3 linked regions of the Coturnix japonica genome follow. The protein of the gene in region 2 purifies or fractionates together with the protein of the main gene of each other region. This does not show direct contact. Links are inferred from orthologs where the notes say so. Each region holds a gene or a part of one and is shown on either strand. Other genes may lie near its edges.

The links. Proteins that work in one complex are often made in the same cells at the same time.
Region 1: the proteins of CNOT1 (region 2) and OBI1 purify together in Homo sapiens (affinity purification with mass spectrometry; 3 studies listed by BioGRID and IntAct, with this or other methods). This does not show direct contact. The link is inferred for Coturnix japonica from reciprocal best matches to the Homo sapiens genes CNOT1 and OBI1.
Region 3: the proteins of CNOT1 (region 2) and CNOT10 purify together in Homo sapiens (affinity purification with mass spectrometry; 4 studies listed by BioGRID and IntAct, with this or other methods). This does not show direct contact. The link is inferred for Coturnix japonica from reciprocal best matches to the Homo sapiens genes CNOT1 and CNOT10.

What each region holds. Positions count from the first base shown.
Region 1 is NC_029516.1:137,625,564-137,629,309, forward strand, and holds the start of OBI1 (ORC ubiquitin ligase 1), read left to right. Parts: upstream 1-1,056; 5' UTR 1,057-1,169; coding exon 1,170-1,241; intron 1,242-3,746. UniProt on the Homo sapiens protein: E3 ubiquitin ligase essential for DNA replication origin activation during S phase.
Region 2 is NC_029526.1:1,151,595-1,155,340, reverse strand, and holds the start of CNOT1 (CCR4-NOT transcription complex subunit 1), read right to left. Parts: upstream 2,692-3,746; 5' UTR 2,557-2,691; intron 1-2,556.
Region 3 is NC_029517.1:37,319,787-37,323,484, reverse strand, and holds the start of CNOT10 (CCR4-NOT transcription complex subunit 10), read right to left. Parts: upstream 2,945-3,698; 5' UTR 2,765-2,944; coding exon 2,743-2,764; intron 305-2,742; coding exon 213-304; intron 1-212. UniProt on the Homo sapiens protein: Component of the CCR4-NOT complex which is one of the major cellular mRNA deadenylases and is linked to various cellular processes including bulk mRNA degradation, miRNA-mediated repression, translational repression during translational initiation and general transcription regulation.

The DNA of each region.
Region 1 (3,746 bases), on a different chromosome or scaffold from region 2:
GAATTAAACGTTAAAAAACAGCCAATGTATAGCGTGGCACAACGCAAACAAAGGAACAGAATCACAGAATGACCCGGGTTGGAAGGGACCTCAAGGATCATGTAGTTCCAACCCCCCTGCCTAGCAGGGCCACCAAACATACACCTTTACTAGGTCAGGTTGCCCAGGGCCCCGTCCAACCTGGTCTTGAACACCTCCAAGGACGGGGCATCCACAACCTCCCTGGGCAGCCTGTTCCAGGGCCTAACCACTCTCCTAGTGAAGAACTTCCCCCTAACATCCAACCTAAATCTTCCCTCTTTTAACTTAAAACCATTTCCCCTAGTCCTGCTATTGTCAGCCCTTTCGAAGAGTTTACTCCCCTCCTGGGAGTAAGTTCCCTTCAGGTATTGAAAGGCTGCAATGAGGTCACCCCGCAACCTTGTCTTCTCCAGGCTGAACAAGCCCAACTCCCTCAGCCTGTCCTCATAGGGGAGGTGCTCCAGCCCCCTGATCATTTTCGTGGCCCTCCTCTGGACCCTTTCCAAAATCTCCATGTCTTTTTTGTACTGAGGGCTTCACACCTGGACACAGTACTCCAGATGGGGCCTCACAAGAGCTGAGTAGAGAGGGACTATCGCCTCCCTATCCCTGCTGACCACCCCTCTCCTGATGGAGCCCAGGATCCCATTAGCTTTCCGGGCTGCCAGAGCGCACTGCTGGCTCATGTTGAGTCTTTCGTCCATTAGGGCCTCCAGGTTTTTCTCTGCCGAGCTGCTCTCAAGGACCACTCCTCCCAGCCTGTACAGGAACGGCAGACTAGGACCCAAACTGCTCTCCCGCAGCCTCCCTCCACCTAACGCCCCTCAGGGGCCACCTCCTCCACGTGGCACAGCGAGGGCCGGCGAGGCCCGGCGCTACGCGGGGGTACGGCCGCGAGGAGCCGTGGGGCACCATAGAGGAGCCATGAGGGAGCCGCCAGGTCGGCGATAGGGCTTCCCGCTGCTCCCTCCCGCCCCCCAGGGGAGCACTTCAAAACCGCGCGCACCGCCCCCCTCTCCCCCTCCCCAGCGCCGGGCGTCACTTGGCCTCGCCGGCTTGCCGTAGCGGGGCTGCCGGCGCGCTGCCTCCCTCCCGCTCGCTCTCTCCTTCGCTCGCTCTTCCGTGACTTCCGTACAGGCGGCGCGGCGATGGCGCAGCACGGCCCGAGCGTCACGCTGTCCCTCACTCTACCCATCACCTGCCACATCTGCCTGGGGAAGGTAACGGCCCCGTGGCGGCCGCTGCCCGGCCCTCTCCGCCCGCACGTTGCTCGGGTGGGGGGAGGAATGCGGCCGGCCCGCGCCTGCTCGGAGATCCCGCCGTGCTCTATACGAACAGAGGGGGCGATCCCATCTGGGGGTGGGAGGAATCGTGGCCCAGGGGCTGCCGGCACCGTGCGGGTGGGGGGAACCCCGCGGGACGTCCCTGCGAGCCGTGAGGGCCACGGGCCCCGAGACGCCACTCCTCCCCCTTCCCTCTTCCACACACACACATACACCGCTCGAAACCCGGACTGCGGGTGTATTGCTTTCGGAGTAAAGATTTTGAGGTTTTGTCTTCTGATAGCTATGGGAGGTGGGGCAGCTTAGAATGCACGGCAGGTATGTGTGTGAGGGCGGTGTGAGGCCAGGTAGAACAAAGAAGAGGTGTAGAACCCGTTCAGCAGAATTACAGCTTTTGGAGTAAACGTGATTTTTTGGCCTGAGAGGGTCTCTGTCACATTCTCGTCTCTCTCAGAGCTGCTGGGTGTGTTTGGCTCTGAAACACCCTGGAGCCAGCTGCCATTGCTGGCTGTTTTGTGGGTTCTTTTCTTGCTCCCTATCGTTTTGTATGTTCCCTCTTAAAACACATCAGCAATCACAAGTGAAGAAATAACCTTCATGTTTGTACTGTGGTATTTACCACCCTCTTTATTCTTCCCCCACGTGGGTGTGCCTCTGAGGCCTGTTCTGCTTGCCCACGAACCAAAGAGGTGTGTTTAGTGCACGCAGCAGGTATGGCACTGGTAGTGGTAGTAGTTGGACACCTCTCTTGATTCAGCTGTCCACCTCGACAGTGCTGCTTCTGTCAACCACATGTAGTCTTTTCTTGCTTTTTCACTGAAGGCCAAGCAAGGCAGGAATGTAGTCCTTCTCTCTCCCTTATCTCTCCTTTTGAGTTTTTAATACAAACAGAGGAGAACATAAGTTTGCTGTGCATGTAATGCAAAGTGGATGCTCTTTGAAAAGTAATTTAAGTCTGATTGTGGTGATTTCCAACATAATCTAAATGTGGATGCCCCATCCTTGGAGGCATTCAAGGCCAGACTGGATGTGGCTCTGGGCAGACTGGTTTAGTGGTTGGTGACCCTGCACACAGCAGGGAAGTTGAAACTAGATGATTTTTGTGGTCTTTTTCAACCCAAGCCATTCTGTGATTCATTCATACTCTGCTGTAAGCCCACTTGCTCATTTCAAGCCATTGCTTCATTCTTTCTCATCACTTCTGGAACTGACCAGGAATTGAGGTAGTTGAGTTTGTACTGGAAGAGATTTCTGTACTTTTCTTTCTTGGTATCTCACACTTGAGATAATGTCTTGAAATTATGTATGCGAATCCAGTGATGACATCTATATTGAAGACTTTTGGATACTTCCTTTATCAGATGCATTAGGTTTTGCCAAAGCTGTCTGCTGTGGCTGTCCTTTTTCTTTTAATACAAATCTTTGTCTCCAGCTTGAAACACCACAGAAAAGAATCAGAAAATAACCCTTCTCTTTTCAAGAGTACTTTTAGAGGGGAATAAAGAGCTATCTAGCATGAATAAGGGAAAATCATACTATCTTATAGAGTAGAGCAGAAGGGGGTTCTGGGGCTTGACAGGTTTTGGTCTTTGGTATTTTGTAACATGAACTTCAAATGGGATATAAAGCCAACACTGCAGTCAGGACATACTTGTTGCTATCTCCAAAACTTGTAGAGGATTAGTGGCAAAACAGTGGTTTCACTGTGTATAGTGGTAAGGGGTTAAAAAGAGGTGTTAAGTAGAAACTCCAGTATTGTCATCCACATGCTGTATCTAAGGAAGCAGAGTTCTTTTGGGGTGAGAACATTAGTGGATTTCGTTAGCACCAAGTATATCTGCAAGATGAGTGAATAAACATAAAGAATTAACTGCTTTTTTGTAATCAATGTTCTTTTAAGGTAGTCTGGGCTAACTTCTTATATTCGTAATTGGCAAGTAGATCAGAAGCTGCATGAGTTCTTCAGGCATCCCTGTTGCAGGTTGACTGAAGGTCTCATCAGATTGATTTTAGCAGTGATTTGCTTGGGTTCAAGCATGAGGTTCTGGGTGCACTGAAATCTCTGAGGGTGTCCAGGGGTTCATTCTCTGATATCAGTGTACTTATTTTCCACATGCCTGCTCCTCAGTTCATACTGCTTGAAGGTCCAGAAGAGCCTTGAGTGTGGTGTAGATGTATATGGGATTAGATTTTGATCCATGTAAGAATCACATTGTGTGGCAGGAAAAAATAGGACAATACTCAAATTCTCCTTAGCTGATCAAGCCTTTTCAAATAAGCTGTAGCCTTTCCAGTCACTGCAGTCAATTAAGGAACTGAAAACGTGCTGTAATTCAAGTAAAATGCTTTTTAGTAATGTGTGTTGTGATCCCCCAACCCCAGGCTTGTCACATGCTCAGTCACTTTGTGAAGGGAAGTGGCACCCCCAGCTTTTATGTTTCC
Region 2 (3,746 bases):
TGACAACACGAATCTTGGCACTTGACATCTCATCTGTTAAATCACACATTGCCAACACGATACGGTTGCATCCCAAAGCAAGTTCTGCACAACCAGCAGTCGCAGGAATCCTAAGGGAAGCGGCTCTGGGATGCAGCCCTGTTGTTTCCTTTCCCAGGGGTGGAAGCACTGAAGCTGTAAGGAAAGGGGGGGGAGGGGCACAGAGGTTATAGGGCTGCTCAGCAGTTCCCCAACCTGATCATTCTTCAGCCAATAAGTCAAGCTTCAGAGTTTCCATCTCTGGCTGCTAGTAAGAGAAATGGCATTGCTTTGGCCATACAAGCACATACAAGCACAACAACACTCACCCCACCGCACATCAGCCTCTGTATCCCAGGACTTCAGAGTTGGGCTGAGCCACAGGAGAGCACGTGCCTACAGCCTGACCCTCCGTGCTGCTGCACTAAGCCCCGCAGAGCACAGACACAGCCCAGCTACAGCATCACTGGAAAGCAGAGACCACCAACTCTGTGTGCACAACACTACAGTCAAAGCAGGGCTTTCCTTTCCAAGGAAGCAGAAGCAAAGCCTGATTCAAGGGCAGAACACAATAGCTGAAGGAAGCAGCTTCCTATCTACATTCTAAATATATGGCTGGCGTGGTATGTATCGCAGTACACAGCTACTTGCAGCTTCCCACCAGCAGGAGACTGACAGCACTTCAAAGCTTCCAATAGCCCAAACTTATCGCAGTACCCAAAACCCAGCACAGCAGAAGGGCACAGGTACCCCCCTGGCCATTGTATGCAAGACCGAACTTAAATTTCTATGGGACTGATTAAGGAAGCTATGAATGCTATGCAAGGCAGGCTTTATTTTTAGATGCGCATATTCTTAGTCGGAACCAATCCCCCCACCCTGGCCTCAAGAATTCAAGCAGCTTTGAGAGCTTGGGGCAAATCTCCATCCTGGACAGGTTAGGAACAATCAGGCCTGGACCCTCCTACCCAAACTGCTACTTGCAGTTATAGGGACTACGATAGAGTAACTGAATGAGACCTCAGACACACGACTGGGCAGCTCATGGAACACTTCAATGCTGCAAAGTTCTGCTGGGTTACAGTATAAGTGGGATACAATTGTAGGCTAGAATCCAAAGGCACAGGATAGAGAGGGCTAATATGTAACCAGTAGTCAGGTGTGGCCAAAACACTTCAACAGGTTCAAACACTCCCTACTAACCTGAAGCAGATGAGGAGGAGGAACAAACCTCACTGCTGAGGAGAACAAAAACAAATCCCAAGTACACATTTAGCAGCTACGTAAGGAGAAAAACAACTCCAAAATGACTTTAAACCAAACTCTGGGTTGTGCTACACTACATGGATAATCACGATGAGGTATTTCTCCAAAGAGGAGAGTGATAAAGTGATTTTGTTGTGAGCCTGTCTTCAAGAAAGCAGGCCAATAGGATGAATGGCTAATGCCAGAAAACAACACACACAGGGAAGAACGCTCTAGAAAGAGTGTCACACTCCACTATGTACTCACTACCAGCTCAGTGTGCTTCCTGGTTGTGACAGTCACCTCACCCAGGCTTGACCCACCTATGAATTCAGTCAGTGCCAATGTGGTTACCTTAGAAACAGGAAACACTCAAATTACATGCGCTAGGAGCGACTTATCAGGGTCACACCTGTGTTGCTGCCTGCTTTAAAAGAGGAAAAGAAAGTTTCATTGAGAGCAGATGGCACACTTCCTTCTGAAAGGTCAGAGCCAGGTGTGAGTTGGAGATGTGTCTAAAAACTAATCACAGAACTGCAGGGGCTGGGATGGACCTCTGGGAATCCTCCAATCCAACCCCGTGCTAAAGCAGCTTACACAGGAAAGCGGCCAGGGGGGCCTTGAGTAACTCCAGAGAAGGAGACTCCACAGGCTCCTTGGGCAACCGGCTCCAGAGCTCCAACGCCTTCAAGTACCAGCCGTGTGTTGTTTTTTTTTAACGCTACCTCATTTCTGTTGTAAACACAGGCACAAATCAGCCCAAACCAACCACTCGTGATCTGCTGATAGTCAGAAACCGGGCTGTTCGCAGAGGTCCGCTCAAAGACTCAGAACTAATCCAACCAAGGCAGCACAGCCAACTGTTGCGGCCCCTCCCGGCAGCACGGCTCCCTGCCCCGCGGCGCTGTGATGCTGCGGGCTCAGCCGGGCCCACCGAGCCGGGCAGGAGCGATTCCACAGCCAACCCCGAGACAGGGGACGGCCCAGGGGCCTCAACACAGGACCCTCATCCGCCTCTGGAGGAAAGCGGAGGGGGAACGGGGGGTGAAGGGGGAACAGGGGGGGGGCAGCCCGAGTTGGGCCGGGCCGCTCCGCTCTGTCAGCACAGAGCAGCGTTAGGGAGGCTGCAGGGCGCGCTAGGCCGCAGGCCCCCACACAACGAACGCCTCAGGCCTCACAGGCCGCGCTCCTCCCGCCCGGCCCCGCACCTCCGCCATACTCTTCCCCTCCCCCTCCAACTGCTTCCCCCCCTCGGACGGCCCCGGTACCCGCGGCCCAGCCCGCAGCTTTCACCTCAGTGGCGGCGGGGCCGGAGCAAGGCGCCGGGCTGCGGCCGCTCGCGCTTTTCTCCTCTGGTCTCCGCCGTTGCGCTACAAAATGGCGGACAGGGTCGCGCGCTCACGTCGCGGCCTTTCCCCTCCCCCGCCCCCTCGCGGCACCACAGCGGGGGGGGGAGGGGGAGGAACGCGCCGAAGGTCCCGCCCCTCCGCACGGCTTTCCACCAATCGGAGCGCACGGCTACGGGAAGGCTGACCAATCGGCGCGCCTCACCCTCACAGAGCGTTCCGCCGTCCCTGAGCGCCGAGTGAGGAGCGAACGCTGATTGGTCGAAGCCATCCGGAATCCGTCCTAGCGCTCGGGCCAATGGGAGCCGGCGGGTGCCTGGGTTGGAGCATGCGCCTCGGCCATCAACAAGCGTTGGCCGCTCGGGTTGGCCAATCAGCACGAGGCAGGAAGAGGAAGTAGCGGGCAGCGCCAAAGGGAACGACGGGCGGGGGGAGCAGCCCCCAACTGCCTCCCCCTCCCCCTCCCCGCAGTGGTGTGGTCCTGCCAACCGCCCCCCCCCCCCACTACATAGCGGTGGTACGGCCCGCTCAACACGCCCCCCAGCGCCGGACTAAAGTACTGCGCTGCCCCCCCCCCATCACTGGGCAGTGGTGCGGTCCGTGCCGTGCCCCCCCCAGCAGCGGCGCAGTGGTATGGTCCAGAGGGGCCGCCATTTTGTGCTGGCCCTGAGGGGACGGGCCGGGCTGGTTTGGGGCGGAGCTCTCCTAACCTTAATCATACCGTAATACTGGGACATTAACCGCCCCGTCACCCTGGGCTGTGCCCCCACAGCCGGTCCTGCTGGAGTTTTGAGGTCTCTCCCACCACGAAGCAACGCAGCGATGCAGAAAGCACATTGGGCCTGCCTGAGGTACGCACCACAAGTTCACTTTTATTGAGTCAAGGTCATCCAGGCTTTTCGTTTTTGTTTTGTTTTTTTTTTTTTGGTTGGTTTTGTTTTGCACTTAAAATGAAAGAAAATACATTAAAAAGTCTGTAAACAGCCACAGGAGTGATAAGGCAAACAGAGAAACAGCCCCATCGCCATGTAACCCCAGAGGCAGGGCACGATGCAGCCCCATCTCCACACACAGGGCTGGGAGGGAGCCCAGCAGCCCCACAGTGCAGGGCTCTGGTCCAGGCATTACACTGAGCAG
Region 3 (3,698 bases), on a different chromosome or scaffold from region 2:
TGAGGTGCCATCCAACCCAAGCCATTCTATGATACGATTCTATGATTCTATGGAAATGTACGCACTGGCTTTGTAATACAAGCATTGATTTTAGTATAATAACTTGCTAATACATTCTCCGCCATGCTAAGAAAACTGGGGAACAAAAAATTCTATCAACCAGTTTAGCAGTTATGTGGTAGAAGAGAAGCTTGGGCTTGGCTGTGTCTTACCAGAAAAGCTTGTAATGCACTGCTCGACAACTCCTTCTCCTGATCAGTGATTCCTGAAGTACCAGCTCCATCGTGCTTCTCAGCACCTTGGTCTGACAAAGGATGATAGAAAAGTTTGTAAACACAACAGAAGTAATTCAGCTCAAAAAACATTGTTTGTGCCCGTTCTCAGGATCCTCCTGCCAGCTTGTAGGGAACAGCATTAAGAAAATGCTGCAACTATAGTTTTGCTATGTTCCCTTCTAGATGAAGACCAGTCCAGCATGTAAGGTTTTATTTGTGATGGTTTGAGCAGTTGTACAGTAATCTAACATGGTTTTAATTGTCTTCAATTTCTTTGCAATAAAATTCAAAACTACTGGAGGGAAAACCAGAACAACCAGTGCCACACCAGACCAGCTTGTATCTAGAAACCTCAACTCACATGTTCACGTAGTGTTTTTGAAACAAAGATTATACACCTGCCATGGCTTCCACTGCTGCAGATAATTAATTCTTCAATTCCACAACAAGGCTTTTGCTTGAGCCCGTATTTTGCCATGTTAATGGGTTTGGTGGGCACTGTATATTCAATGTCTGTCTTTTCCTAGAAAGAAAGGATGTAATGCAAACTCTGCTAACTTTGTTTTCACACCAAACAAATGAGAACATTCCTCTACGATCTCCACTACAAAATACACTCCCCATAAGCACCAACACACCTGAATCATCCACTACTCACTGGCTACAAACACTTGAAGTTTATTTACGAGGATGGACAACAATAATAACCAGGCCTAGGGACATTCCCGATGTAATATCCATGGCAGGATCAAAACACAGTCACCATTCAGTTCCTGGGTTGCATTTGCTGCAGGGAAACACTTTCCACCATCCTACACAATCATACATTTCAGCAAGAATCTATTTGTTGCTTGCTGAGGCTTCCACCCTGCATCATGATGCCCATGAAGTTGAGATGTTAAAACTCAACCATCTTTCACCAGCGAGTCACAAAGCAATGGGCTGCGAAATGGACAAAACTCAGGGTACAGCAATTCTAGTACTTGGGAGGGATGGACTCTGAGGGTGCTACAGAACTACACACACCTACTGTGAAATCTGACTGCACATAATTGGGGTGGTCAGCAGGGGCAGGGAGGTGATTGTCCCTCTCTACTCTGCTCTTGTGAGGCCCCATCTGGAGTACTGTGTCCAGGTGTGGAGCCCTCAGTACAAAAAAGACATGGAGATTTTGGAAAGGGTCCAGAGGAGGGCCACGAAGATGATCAGGGGGCTGGAGCACCTCCCCTATGAGGACAGGCTGAGGGAGTTGGGTTTGTTCAGCCTAGAAAAGAGAAGGTTGCGGGGTGACCTCATTGCAGCCTTTCAGTACCTGAAGGGAACTTACTCCCAGGAGGGGAGTAAACTCTTCGAAAGGGCTGACAATAGCAGGACACAGGGAAATGGTTTGAAGTTAAAAGAGGGAAGATTTAGGTTGGATGTTAGGGGGAAGTTCTTTACTAGGAGAGTGGTTAGGCCCTGGAACAGGCTGCCCAGGGAGGTTGTGGATGCCCCGTCCTTGGAGGTGTTCAAGACCAGGTTGGACGGGGCCCTGGGCAACCTGATCTAGTAAATGTGTATGTTTGGTGGCCCTGCCAGGCAGGGGGTTGGAACTACATGATCCTTAAGGTCCCTTCCAACCCGGGTCATTCTGTGATAATGCATTCACCAGTGGAACCTTTTCCATAAGGAGAGAGAAAACAAACATCAGAAAAGTTCAAAAAGCTTTGATGTGCCACAGTTTTCTCACAGACAGAGAGGAAAGGAACAAGAAGCATCTCTCCTCATACTAACCACGTAATAGATCTGACTCCTTAATATTTGTGGTAGAGAACCCACTGACTTTCAAGGACCTTTTTTAACAGCAATGAAGAAATAAATGCATTTTCCCTCCCACCATCATGCTAACAGATAGGTTATCTGCTTTACTTGCTCCCCAGGCCTCAAGGTTACACCAGCATAAGCAACAACAATGCAGATATGTGAGAATCGAAACCTTGGGACGTTTCTAATGCTCAGCCTGACCAGGAGCTCCCCACATACACAGGTTTAGCTCTCGGTAGGGCCAGGCAAAGCCGCAGCACTGGGTACCGCCTTTGTCTGGTAAGCAGGTAAAACAAGCAATATGGTGCTCACAGAGGTCTGAACCTTGATGTGACACATCTTTAGGTAAGCAAACAATAAATGAAAGACACTGTTAGCTGCCCAGGAAACGTGCCACTTACACAGCTACATGGTGTATTTCCTAGGGAAGCATCAGGGCAGCTCTACAGACTTCACTATGCCTCTACATCACATGTAGAAAGACAAAAACGAACAAGTGTTTTAAACAAAGCTCTCCTGCAAAGTCACTTTTATGGTTACAAGCTGAAGGCCGAGATCTCACACCTGTTAGCTGCACCTCCAGCGGCCATAGCCTCCAGGCCTTTCCGTACCAGTTACCAGAGCGTATCCCTCCGCCCGGGCCCACGGCCGTTCCCCCGCTCACCCGCAGTCTTGTCCGCCGCCATCTCTGCCACCGTTGCCACGCGAGACGAGACGTTCCCCTGCTCCTCCACCAAACACCGGGCCGCTGTGGCACTACTTTCCCTCCGGTCCCTACGCGCCGCTCCGTCCCTATTACCCGCCGCTTCCGGGTTGCCGGCGCCCACCGACGTGCGGCCGTTGCTGGGGACCGCGTCTGACGTCACGACGCCGCTGCGCTCCCCCCCTCCCCCCGGAAGGGGCGCCGTGCTCATGCGCCTCGCAACCTGGCTGCGTCCCCCCGGCCGCCATGTTGTTGGCATTGCGCGGAGTGAGGCTGGTCTGCCAGCCTTCTTAGAATCGTAGAATCATGAAATCGTTAACGTTGGACAGATGGCTAAGATCACATATTCCAGCCACCAGCACATCCCCACTATGCCCAGTGACCACATCCCTCAGTGCCATAATTTGAGGCCATTCCCTCCCATCCCATCACTGTTACCGGTGAAAAGAGGCTGACCCCCACCTCACCACAGCTCCTTTCAGGCAGCTGTAGAGAGTGATAAGGTCTCCCCTGAGCCTCCTCCAGACTGAACAGTCCCAGCTCCCTCAGCCGCTCCCCATAAGACTTGTGCTCCAGACCCCTCACAGCTTCACTACCCATCTCTGGACACACTATAGGGCCTCAATATCACAGATCACACAGAATCACAGAATCACAGAATGACCCGGGTTGGAAGGGACCTCAAGGATCATGTAGTTCCAACCCCCCTGCCTGGCAGGGCCACCAGACATACACATTTACTAGATCAAGTTGCCCAGGGCCCTGTCCAACCTGGCCTTGAACACCTCCAAGGACGGGGCATCCACAACCTCCCTGGGCAGCCTGTTCCAGGGCCTAACCACTCTCCTAGTGAAGAACTTTCCCCTAACATCCAACCTAAATCTTCACTCTTTTAACTTAAAACCATTTCCCTGTGT